Coturnix japonica: one gene and its partners. The protein of the gene in region 1 interacts with the protein of each later gene in a pairwise test. Links are inferred from orthologs where the notes say so. Each region holds a gene or a part of one and is shown on either strand. Other genes may lie near its edges. The genes, in order: NFYC, DR1 and LMO4.

Region 1 (4,325 bases):
ACATCTGACCCCAAACGGCTTCTTTTTATTCTCCCAGCTCTACAAGGCAACGTCTCTGTGTTCAGGTGGATCTCAATCCATTATTTACATCCAGATTTTTTCTTCTTTACTCATTTCTTTGCTTGGGGATGCTCGTCCCAAAGCAACTGCTGGTTTGGGATCAGTGCAGAGGGATGCTGTAATGGGAGCCAGGTGGGATGGGAGAGGGCTGACTGATGGGAGGAAGGCCAGGAGTGCAACCTCTGCTGTAGCAACCCATTTCCTTAAGTGCCAAACAAACCCAGCCCTATAGAAGCCGGCTGGAGGCTGCAGTCTGTGTGCAGAACAGCCCCCCTGGGTCTCATTGCTGGCACAGGAGGCCCCGGTTGAGCAGGTAGCAGATGTCAGCAAGTGTGAAATCAACAAAGCACCACAAGGAATCACACAGGAACCAGCAAGTGGAAAAAAAGCTGCTGTGGGGTTTAGTTGGTTGCTTGGTTGGTTGGTTGGTTGGTGGGGGTTTTTCTTGGCTCCTCTGTTTCAAGCAGGCTGACATGGACATCTCTGTGTCTGCAGATGGCTGAGATCCTTGGGGAAACCAAGAGCAGGTGGGAAGGAAATGGAGCATCGCGGGCACAGGGCAACGCAAAGGGATCCAGCAGGAGGAGGGGTGGGTGCTGCACTCAATGCCCTCCTTCAGCACGGAGACAGCTGGCTGTTGTGCAGCTGGGAGCAGCAGCAGTCAGCAGCAGTTGTGGCTAATTGATTTATAAATGAGTCATTGCAGCAAGGGGCTGCTGTGCACATCACGGCTCCCTGACGGTGCAGCAAAAGGAGACCGGCTTATAGTGGGAATCAGGAGGGGGAAAGCAGTTGTTACTAAGCGCTGTGGCTCATCTCTTGCTCCTCTTGGCTGCTGTGCATTATCAATGTCCCCAAACCTCCATGATTTGCAATAAAACGGGGTGAGTTTGCTGCATTTTGGTGCCACCAGCACACAGCCTTAAGGGCTCTGAAAGCACAACGGATTGAGATCCATCCTGTTTCATACAGACACGGCTGCGGTCTCCCTCGTCCCACGCAGGGCACACAACAAGCTCCACAGCTGCACCTCCATAGCTGGAAACCGGCTGCAAACAGTGAACCATCGTGAGGCAGCTCCGCCATATAACGGCTCTGACTGTGCCGGCAGGGCCTTGAGGAGCGGCTCTCCGTGCCTGGCTGTGCACAAGGCCAGGCCTGAGGCCTCACGTCTACACGAAGCCCATCCCGAGGCCTTGCCCGCCCCCTCCCGGCCCCGCTCCGCTCCCGGTGCGGCCCAGCCCAGCTCCAGGCCCCGCCCGTTGGCTCCCGCCCCGGCCGAAATCTCGCGAGATCAGCCCCGGGTCATGCGCCTGCGCGTTGAAGCGGCCCAAGGGGAAGGGGCGTGGCCTCCGCCCCGCCGCCTCACGGCTGCGCCGCCATCTTGTTTCTCGGCCGCCGGGCGCGCGCTCCAGCTCCAGCCGCACCCCTCCCCCTCCCGCCTCCCGCCGTTCGGCCGCCGGGCGGAGGAGGCGGAGATCGCGGCGCCGACCGGCACGGTGAGTACGTGAGGGGCGGGTTGGATGGCGGCGGGGGGAGGCGGGCGGCCTAGTCAGGGCCGCGCCCCCCCCCCCTCCGATTGGCATAGCCGCGCCGCGCGCGCTGATTGGCCCGCGCGAGGGGAGGCGGGCGGAAGAAGCCGCGCGTTGATTGGCTGCCCACAGGCGGACCGGGAGCTCGGCCGTTTCCCCGCGCGGCGCGGGGTGGGGCGGGCGTTGCGGAGAGTGACAGCGGCGCTGGCCAATCGGAAGCGCCGCTCGCCCCCTCCGCGTGTCGGCTGGCCAATCAGCGTCGTGCAGCGGGATTGGAGGGCGTAAGGCCGCGCTGCTGAGGGGCCGCGGTTGGGCGGCGCTGTGACCCCTGCGCTGCGCCTCAAGGTAACTTGAAAGCAGGAAGCGGGCGGGCGGGCCGAGCCGCCGGCGGCAGCCAATCAGCGCTCGGGACCGCGGCTCCCCCCGGCGGCGCTCAGCCAATGGGCGCGGCGGGGTGGGCGCAGCAGGGTAGGCTGAGCGGCGGCTCTTAAAGGGGCCGCGTCCCGGTCCGGCGGGGACGTGGAGTCCCGGCAGACAGGGGTCAGCTCAAAGACAAAGGAATGGCGGAACGGACCGGGATGAACGGGGATCGCCGCCCCGCGGCACCGGCCCGACCCACCCGGTGGGGGCCCCCTGCGGCTCGGTGAGTCGGTGGCGCTTGCGGGGACAGCGCGGGTTGGGCGGGGGGCGGCCCGGTGACAGCGCGGCCATGGCACCGCTCGGGGCCTCCCCGCCGTGCGGGTGGATGGACGGGGCTGACGGTACCGGAACGTGCACCGGGCTGAGCCCCGGCCTGGAGGAGAAGGAGGAGGAGATAAAGGGGGGGGTGAACGGAGGGGTCAAACGGGGCTGAGCCGCCAACCGGGAGCGTGGATTGAGGGGGGGCACAAAATGGCAGCGCCTGTACCCGGTGTGTGCCGTGCTGTGCCGTGGGGATGGAGATAAACGGGGATGCGGGACAACCGGCCTCTGCGGCCCAACGGCACCGGGGGCATCGGGCCCACAGCCGAATCCAGGCTCCTGCCCGCAGCCCTTTGTTTTCTGTCCCGTTTGCCACCGAACACTGAAGGTCACTGAGGTTCCGAGCAGCGCTGGGCACACACTGTGATCACAGAGATGAGAGAGACACGGGTGAGTGGGCAGCCACGGGGGAACACGGGCCTGGAGCCGGTGCTGAGCTGCAGCCCAGCGCCAGAGTGAGGCCTCCCCACATGAGCAGCAGTGACCTTGAGATGCCGCGGCTCCCGGCCTCCAGAATGAAGGACAAAGTTTGTTTACGGCGCTTTGGCCGGGGATGGAAAAGGAAAAAGAAAAGAATGTGAGTTGGAAAATGAAGCTGCTCCACCTCAACCACAGCTCTGAGGGCACAGGGAACGGTGTGCTGGTCAAATTGAGTGCACATTGCAGGCATTCCGCACCCTGCAGTGCAGTGGGATGTTGGCATGTCCTTGTGGTGCTGGTAGGGCTGCAGGACACAAGTCGTTGTGCTGAGCCCACTCCACGGCTTTTTGTTGTCCAGCTTTAGATTGCTGCCTTCAGAATCACGGTTCTCAGACCTGGAGGTAATTATGTTGTAATTACATTGTGCATCTTATGTCAGGGCTGGGCGCGTTCCCTGAGCTCGACCCTCGGTGATGCCACCTGTAACTGAGGGACCACACTGGGCTCTGGTTGCAGCCTGAGTTGCTGCAGCCTCTGAGTGTCCCTGGTGAAAATCATTGCCCTTCTTCAGCCTCAGCTTTCTGTGGCTTCATGTGGTTTCAGCTCTGAACAGGGCAGAGGGAAACCATCCCCTATTGGTACCAGTGGCTGCTCCGGGTCATTGGTGGGGCAGCAGCACCTGTGGGGCACCTGGGCATTGTCACTAGCAAGAAGGTCACTGCTGGCCTCTTAGAGATGAGCCATTTTAAGCTGCTTTTTCCATGTATTTTGGATGTATTCAGCTGCTCCATGCTTTTAAGATGTAGCCAGAGTCTTCTTTACATCCAGCATTGGTCATATTTCGGATCTTGAGCTTGCAATAGGCCGTGGATGTACAGCAGTAGGTGCTGCTCAATCCAGCACTGAAAGGGGATTTGGGTCCACATTCTGCCCACTCTGACCCTCATGGAGTGGAGGGAATATTCCCATGTCCCATTTGTGCTGCAATGTGAGGGTCCCTGTTTTGAGCAGGCCTGCAAACCAGGCCCTGTGTTTTGTATGGGTATTTTCCATGGTTATTTCTTGTATTAACACAGCTGGCAGAACAAGCAGGGAAGGCATAGAGGACATGGGGTTGTTGTGGGAAGCTGGTTCCTATGGGCTGAGACACTCAGGGGCCTGCAGGAGGTCACCTTCAGAGCTTGTGTTGGTGTTTGTATTGTTGGGTTCCTTGAATTGGCCTGGGATGTGATATTTATATAATGCAGCGTGACATCTGTATTCCAGTGGTGTAGGTACAGGAAGCAGCTTCTCGGGCTGCCTGCACTGGAAGTGAATCAGATTGGTATGGTTAACTTCAATGGCATTGTCAGTGTGTCCAAACGTCGGGTCCTGCTGAGGAAGCTCCTGTTGTGTATTGCTCAGAACCCAACAATTCCTGCATGCTGAGATCTCACCGTGGGGATTCTCTCCTGTTGTCTATGGTTTGCTGTCCTGTTTGGTCTCTGCCTGATGAGTCAAAGTGGGTCACTTTAGGCTGCCTTTATTCCCTGAAGGTGACCCACAAGAGTGTAGATTTGGGTGTTTACAGCC
Region 2 (3,635 bases), on another chromosome or scaffold:
AAAGGTGTGAAAATATACCTAATATTATTTAAAAGGAAAAGACTCATTTAAAATAGAAAGGTGTGAAGGTGTTACAGTACAAATTAGAAAAGCCAACACTGCACATTAACATTGTATCACTAGACTAGATTTTCTACCTTTGGTACTTAAACCTTCACAGAAAACCACTTCCTTAATCAAACCTTGCCTAACACATATCATATAGTAGCTGTGAAAGGTTTTTCGTTTGTTTTAACTTAAATATTAAAATACATTTCTGACTTTTCACTGTATTAATGCATTTAAGGAAGTGTTCACATTTACTCTATATGAAACTTAACGCATCTCACACTTAAAAGTCACTAAGAGACTCAGACCTGAATATATGCCAATTGTACCTTGTTCAGATCGTTATGTAAAAATGGACATGATGTTTTCCACTTGTATCCTTACACAAACAGACTTGCTGCCCTCCTCAGGACCCACGACTAGAGCAACCTGCTGAGGTCTCAGGTTAAAATAAACAAACTGCATTGTTACAGAGCTATGAGATCATCTACAGCAGTACACAAGTGGCTTTTCTAGTCTGCTCAGATTAGTGTACCAGAAGATATGACAGTATTACTTCAAGTAACACATTAAAACCCAGTAATGGACACTACTGTGCTTTATTTCAACACAAAGAACAGCCGCTCATCCATTAATCAACAGAATTTTCAAATCAACTATCAAAAGGACTACTACAGTTCTGTTCCATGTCTTACCCATCACTTTGGGAAATCCTTTGTCAAAAACCTGGACTTACCTACAAACCAATTTGAGTGATGAAAATGTTATCTTTGAAAGTATTCTAATAATCCAGTGGCAACCTAGTGTGGAAAACATTAGCATTACGCTGACAACGATGACTTATCAAGGTTAAATAAAATCCCTCTTTTATTGTAAGCATGCTCGGAGCTTCAGCTTTTGCCTTCACAGGCTTGAATCATTCCCAGTTACATCAGCGGAACCAGAACAGTTCTGTTTCATCAAGTTCCAGTTTTATATTTCAACAATATGAACATATCTGGACTACGCAATAACATCAACAGGTAACATTAAATCGGAGCAAAACAATAAGAAGAGTTAGTTTTCCAAAACTGGCAGTCTTCCAAGTAAAATATTCAGTCAGGACTGACTGTCAAAGGACGTAGTAATAAAACCATGGGTTTATTTTTTTCCATCCCATACCAAAAAGGATTCAATTTGTACAACTCCTATTAAACATACGTTTTCACCAAGCTAGGAAAGGTATCATTTTCAAATGGTAACAAGTGTGGTATTGGAGCATTTATAGTATTTATTGCCATATATATCCGCATTTTAAAAAGAACAAAGAATTCAAGACTGTACTATGCTGAACTTGACTTCTTTCCCATTAACAGTTTACCTCTACTGTACCACTCCCCCCAAAAACAATTAAAAATTCTAAGTAAGATTTTATAGTTTAGTTAAAAGGGAAGAAATGCAAATGTGGATTTAGAGCTTTTTGTATAAATCTCACTGTATTTTATAAACTTGTTGTTCATTGTAACACTGTTTATTGATCAAATAAGTGACGCACTGCTATCTAAAATTTCCATATACACCATTAAAAATCCAAAGTCGATATGATACTGAACCTTAAATCTTCAAGAGTTCAAAAAAAGACAGTTTATACATGTACAGCACACAACAGCAGACACCCCTAGAATACCAACTGCCAGTCCATGATGCATACAAACTTACAGGTAAGCATTCATTTCACTGTTTTCATTGTGCAGGAAAAATATTTCTTAGTGAAGACAGAAACCCAGCTGGTGAATTTCAGATATCATCTTCATCATCTTCATCCTGAGAAGATCCTGCCTGATTGGATGCACTGGCTGAGGCAGCAGCAAGTTGTGCCTGTTGAGCTGCTTGTTGCATCTGCAGCCACTCTTGCTGTGCCAGTTCTGCTTGCTGTTGTCTAGCCTAAAGACATGAATTTAATTGTTAAGGTCATACTGTAACTTGTGAAGAATCTCTAGAGCACCTTAGCTATAAAAGCAGTTTTATCTGCACCTGTAGGCTCCTTTTACATAATTTTTTATTAACTGTGCACACACATGTCTAGAAAACATGTCTAGAAATACCTTTGTTATTTGTACTAGGATGTCCAGCTATATTTGCTCTTCCTCTGAAGAGGCCAACATTTAGAGGATTTATACTTTCCAGAACAAGTACATTAGTCCACACCTCTTTAGTTTCATTGTAAGGGTTGTACTGAACCACTTACTAATGAAAAGATAAAGCAAGACAAAGCAATAAAATAATTTACGGCTCAGTTTCAAGGCCTCTTAGCATTCAGCCACCATTCAGAGACGAGAACAGTCCTACACTGCTGATTACAAATAATGTTGGCAATTACAAATTCATCCCTCTCACCACAGCATGTAGAAATACAAAAAGAAAACAAACAAAAAAACCACCAAAAAACAAAAACAAAAACAAAAAAAAACCAAAAACCAACCCACAGAAATGAAGAAATCCATTATCTCACTCTGCTAAGCCATCCTGGGAAAACAGAGCAATCTGAGCTCTTCTTAAATAAGGAGAGGCAGGTTGAGATGCCTTTGTTACAGAAAGGCATGTTATCTGTACTTCAAGGTACAAGATGTTCTAACCATGTTCTTCAAGTAGCTCACATGGTGCCTTCCCATTTTCCCATTTAGAGCTTTTTTTCTGTTTTTCAGCAACTATTTTTGATTTCAACACTGTGTTAACGTTTCATTTTCTGTTTTGAAAGTTCTCTAAATTAAAAACCTTCAGTATTCTTTATTTGCTCACTGAATTTTCCTTTCTTTTTCCAAAGCCTCAACAAACCAGCTTTCCAAACTTCAAGACACCAAAAGATGGTACTTCAGAAAATGATCAAAACCAGTTTACCTATTTAGTATACATGAAAAAAAGAAGTCTTCCTATACAATAAGAAGTGTTGCAATTTCTCAGCCTGTTCAACACTTCCCAATGAGGACTTCTCAGTATTTCTAAGTTTAAGCAGTAGCCAAGCTAAAAAGGTTGGAAAACAATTCAAGATGCTGTAAATCTGCAGCATCAGCTGTATTGACTAAGAAGCCTTAACAGCATCTGGGGTAAACTGAACTCATTTATCGAGCAACCCATTTACACAGGAACTTTACAAGCAACCTTTAGTAAGGAAGCCTCAAAAAGAACACTTCTGTTGATGACCTCATCTTCCACACTTTTAGACATGCACGAATATCAGGAAGAATCATTAGACTAACTTTAAACATTCACCACCATCCTCATACCAACTTACGTATAATTTAATTGTGCTTAATTCAAGTTAATTAAGTGTAATTTAGTATTAAGTAATACTTGCCACGTTGTAACATAACACTTTTAAAAATCATATAAAAATCAACACAATTTTGTTAAACCTGCATGTACTGTCTTTAATTTAGGCACTAAGGCACAGTATTATGGAATTTAAAACAACCACCAAAACACACTTCACGTGGCCCATTCTGCCTACATAAGGTAGCAATGGTTTTTAGCATTCTTGTTTTATGTTACTTAGGAGGTGGTACCCCCTCAACTATCTTTGTTGTTCTGAATATCCATCATCATTTTGT
Region 3 (4,377 bases), on another chromosome or scaffold:
ACTATTCTTTTTTAGGTAAAAGCTTCAGCACAAACTGGTTCCCCATATGTACCATAAATGCTATTTATCACAGGTTTTGGTCTTTAAAACAGAAAGATAATGTTAAAACATTTTCATTATCCTTTCCTTACAGCTATCATTCACAAACCATCTTTTATAATTATGGCACTAGGACATTTACATAACTGGGAAAAAGGTCCTTAAACTACATTTCTATTATGTTTGGCACTTGTGTGAAAGGATATTATATTCATGTGCATTAGAGATTGCTTATAAAAGATCAAGACAATAATAGCAGATCAGACGATAAAGGTTCCCTTTTCTCCTCCCAGACAGGCTGTCTCTGACAGAAGAATACAGTTCATCAAAAGTGTCTGCAGGTTGTCAAACTCAGTGAGATTTGGGGACACTCGGAGGCTGTCATGGCCAACAAGAAGATTTTCTGTAGGGTTCTGCCATCATTCACCCTCAGGAAATAATCACTCACTACATTCTGCATGCTCTCATGATAGAGCTCTATTTGAGAGAAAAGAGCCATTTTATCAAAGGACAATATATCCCTTCTCTTGGTCCATGCAGCTTCCATTATCAGACTATAATAAATCATATTTATGTTCTCAGTTAATAAGACTGATTACAATGCAGGTTACAGGCATGGGAAAAGCAAAGCAGGTGAAAAGATGTTTTAATGAAAATATGATAAGCAAACAGCTTCTTGTGAACATTTCAGGCTGTTATTTGTAATGATCACAGGCATTTTTTGATACATCTTCCTTAGCAATGGTTTAAGCTGCATAAATTGGCTTGCCACTTTATACGTCGAAATAGGAAGAATCCCAATGTCCTTCTCATGTTGTCTGGAATCATTATATACATTATAAGCATAAAATGAGTTTAATGTATGTGCTTTGAAAAGAAGGGGAAAACAGAAAATCAGGGAGGACTGATTTTAATGCTGCTCAAAATGATTTTGAAATTTTCTGCTCATCTTTGTTACTAACGGAGCATTTTCCATGAAATTTAGGAATGACATGTGGTGCTTTCATCTCCTTAAAATTAATATACTTCTCTTTCTGTTTTTCTCAATTTCTTCAAAGTTCTTTTTAGAACACTGTGCAAAGACAGAGAGAAAATTCTCCACTCGATGTGTGAACATATCTGTTATTAGTGCTGGGGGGAGTTAAGTGTGTGCTTCTAGAGGAGAATATAGCTCTGCATTAAATACTGGAGTAAACCCTATTAAAAAGGTGCAGGGATATTTAGCTGCAGCACACCTGATGCATTCAAAGGCCAAATTCCTTGGAATCTTTTAAAGTGATTAAGATCTCTTTTGTTAAGAATTCTCCAATGATTTCAGAATGTAACTGTACCTAAATAGCTGATAAAATGTCCTGCTCTTGTCTTGCCAAAAGCTTTCTTTTATGTTTTATTGTTGCTTTTTTTTTTTTTTCGTAGTCATTTGGTTTATGTTTAGCATCATACTTTCAAGACAAAGTTAAAAATTTAGAGAATAATTTCCTCCTGCTAGCACATAACGCTGACTAAGTACATCAAAATCTACAGCACTTGCAGAATGCGAACATTATGCTTATAATGTATATAATGACTCTAGACAATATTAGAGGGACACTGGGATTCTTCCTATTTTGACAAAGTGGCGAGCAAATGCAGAAGTCTCTGTGGTGTTGTGTGTCTGCAGGAGCTGTTCTGGTCACTGACACTTCTAAAACTCTCTTAAATAAATGTTAAAGCGTTGTAATGGGCCTGGCAATGGAGAATGACCATGAAATTTCCTTAACCCTCTTAGGGTGCTTCAGCAGAAGTGATCTCACAAGAAACAGTAAACTGCTCTTCAAAGGCAGTATCCTGATATGACAACAGATGTAGATAATGCACTTCATGATGGAACTGCTTGATACAGAGAAAAACATGTTGTAACTGCCTTCACCGTGAAAGGGGTTTAAAAATGCTGCCTGCCAACTCCACAAAAAAACAGAGCTGCTATTTCAGTTAAAGGCCAGTGGATTGTATTTTTCATGTCAGTTTTCACTAACCTCAAACATCACTGTTATGACAGACTGTCAACCAACCAAACCAGAACTGTGGTGCCATTCAGGCAAGAAGGAAGAAAGCAAACACAAAGGAAACTTAGAAGTCCAAATAGTAAGAGGGGGTGCCTATGAGTGCACTTTTGTGCAGTGATACTGATTACTGAAAATGAAACACTTAAAAGAAAATAAACCCAAAAAAGTGCTTTCTGAGCCATTAGTGTTTTCTTGCCTGGCAGTTTCTCTTTGTTCTGTTTCATGACATCAGCCTCGGTGGTTGAAAGGGTGTTCTGGGCCAGATGTCAATCACACTGTCTGACATAAACAAAAATAGCTAAAAAGACATGCCAGCATCTTCCTTTTGTTTTCCCATTAGCTCCATTTTTCTTTTCAGAGGCTGACAAAAAATTACTGCCTCCGAGTGAATTCAGTAATGTCACTATATATCTAATATCTAGGAGACCTTTTGTTTTAGCTTTACTGGGCTTAACCACAAAAGACACTTGACATTGACAAAGAGTCTGTCAAATACACAATGATCAGTGCAATGAAATCTCTCATGACAGAAGGGCACTATTCTGCACCCCCAGCCTGCAGCAGCCTGTCTGAGCAAAATGTGCTGGAGCACACACAGCAGCTGAACCATTGCAGAGCAGGCCATAAGCTGAGATGTGTCTTGTTTAAAGTGTCATAGTATATTAGTGTAATTAAAACCGCCAAAAGAATAGAAAAGATAGATGGAAATGTTACATTACTTGTTTCTAGAGATTAACCTCCAGCCAGAACTGAAATACAGAGACACATTTTGCATGTCTTAGAGCTCAGATATGGAAGAAAACAAGCCTGAGAGTATGTCTCTTGAAGTGTGAGACATGAAGTCATAGTTCCTGTATTTACACAATAAAGCAGAAATAGCATTTCAGACAGGCACGCTGTTTTCTCTCTGATTACAGCTCCTGTTGTGGCTGTACTCTGCAAAGCAGCTGTATCATCTCTCAGCTACTTCTATTTTACTCTCTCTGCCTTCGTTCTTGGAAGATCTTGAGGACCCTTGTGCTGGTGTCAATGCCTTCTGCTCCCTTGGCATCTGCCAGAGTTGTGTGGGCCCCGCCTGGAGGCAGAGCACCCTATTCCTGCCGGTGGCTGCAGAAGCCACAGCTCAGCTCCAGGCTCAGCAACACCCAGCTAGGGAGATGTCTGAAGAGTGGCTTCAATATGACCTTTATATGCCAGGCTGCATGCTTGCTTCTCTGCTGATTCTATAGATAAAACTGTATGGCTTTCTGAAGTTGACCCTGAAAATTATGTTCCCAGCACTGCATGTTTTCCTTCCCATGCATCATTACCTGTGATAACTATTCAAGCCTAACTAGTTATGAACTCTGTTTCTAACCATGACACAAGTTAAATCTGTTGGTAAAAAAGCCTTGAAGTTTTTGTGGACCTGTTCTGCTGTATAGTCTGAACCTTGGTTAATCCAGAATCTGGAGAGGACATGATCTGGCTTCAGCAGTTCTGAAACACTGCAAAAGCAGCATGGCTTTCTTCTAACGTAAGCCTTACATTCAAGGAGAAGATGCATTAATCACGTAGGTCTCATGTTCATTTCTTCCACTATAAATGAACTTCAAGGCTTTGCCCCATTAGTTGGTCAGTTTGAAGTTAAGAGATGTTAAATATAGGCCTTACATTTTCGGTTTCCTCATACTTCCTCTATTTCCCAGCTTTAAATATCAGTTAATGACTTCTCCATATAACAGTACTCTTTAATTTCTGGTCAGAGGCTGTAAATGTGCACTGTTAGTCAAAAATATGTTATCTGCATTTAGTGTTGGCTTCTGGAGCCTTCACCACCAAGTTACCTCACAGTCGCATCTCTCTTCACGTGATTTTCCAGGTACTGCCAGGAGAAGAATGGAAAATGACTATGAAATAAAAGCACATTCTGCTCCCATTACAGGCAATGAAAACTGTGCTTTTACTTCTACTTACTCATAATGGTGGGGGGAAAAAATGAAGTGGAAACAAGCACAACAAAACACCTCTGCCAGCTATCTATAAGCTAACCAAGGCTTCCACTAATGAGGTGGTCTGGCATTTTGAGAAAGACGGGTTTTTCCAGAAATGGAAAAAATATGCTGTTTTTTTCCTTCAACTCTGAGAGCTTAGTGAGAGAGTAAGAAATTGCATTTCAGAGGGATAGCAAACTTTTAATGCTCTCAGTATTATTTAATACTTACAGACACCAGTGTAGTTTCTTGTCAGTTGAATGTTTTTGCATGTTTATTTGTGAGATTACTAAATACTTTCCTACAAACTAGTTATTTGC

Evidence for each region.
Region 2: the proteins of NFYC (region 1) and DR1 interact in binary tests that used the Homo sapiens proteins (3 or more experiments, as listed by UniProt). The link is inferred for Coturnix japonica from reciprocal best matches to the Homo sapiens genes NFYC and DR1.
Region 3: the proteins of NFYC (region 1) and LMO4 interact in binary tests that used the Homo sapiens proteins (3 or more experiments, as listed by UniProt). The link is inferred for Coturnix japonica from reciprocal best matches to the Homo sapiens genes NFYC and LMO4.

The regions. Positions count from the first base shown.
Region 1 is NC_029538.1:4,321,874-4,326,198, forward strand, and holds the start of NFYC (nuclear transcription factor Y subunit gamma), read left to right. Parts: upstream 1-1,435; 5' UTR 1,436-1,559; intron 1,560-1,809; exon of another isoform or gene 1,810-1,937; intron 1,938-2,091; exon of another isoform or gene 2,092-2,235; intron 2,236-4,325. UniProt on the Homo sapiens protein: Component of the sequence-specific heterotrimeric transcription factor (NF-Y) which specifically recognizes a 5'-CCAAT-3' box motif found in the promoters of its target genes.
Region 2 is NC_029523.1:12,067,247-12,070,881, forward strand, and holds part of DR1 (protein Dr1), read right to left. Parts: intron 1,972-3,635; coding exon 1,825-1,971; 3' UTR 1-1,824. UniProt on the Homo sapiens protein: The association of the DR1/DRAP1 heterodimer with TBP results in a functional repression of both activated and basal transcription of class II genes.
Region 3 is NC_029523.1:13,758,086-13,762,462, reverse strand, and holds the start of LMO4 (LIM domain transcription factor LMO4), read left to right. Parts: upstream 1-1,472; 5' UTR 1,473-4,377. UniProt on the Homo sapiens protein: Transcription cofactor. Plays a role in establishing motor neuron identity, in concert with MNX1, acting, at least in part, to disrupt LDB1-LHX3 complexes thereby negatively modulating interneuron genes in motor neurons.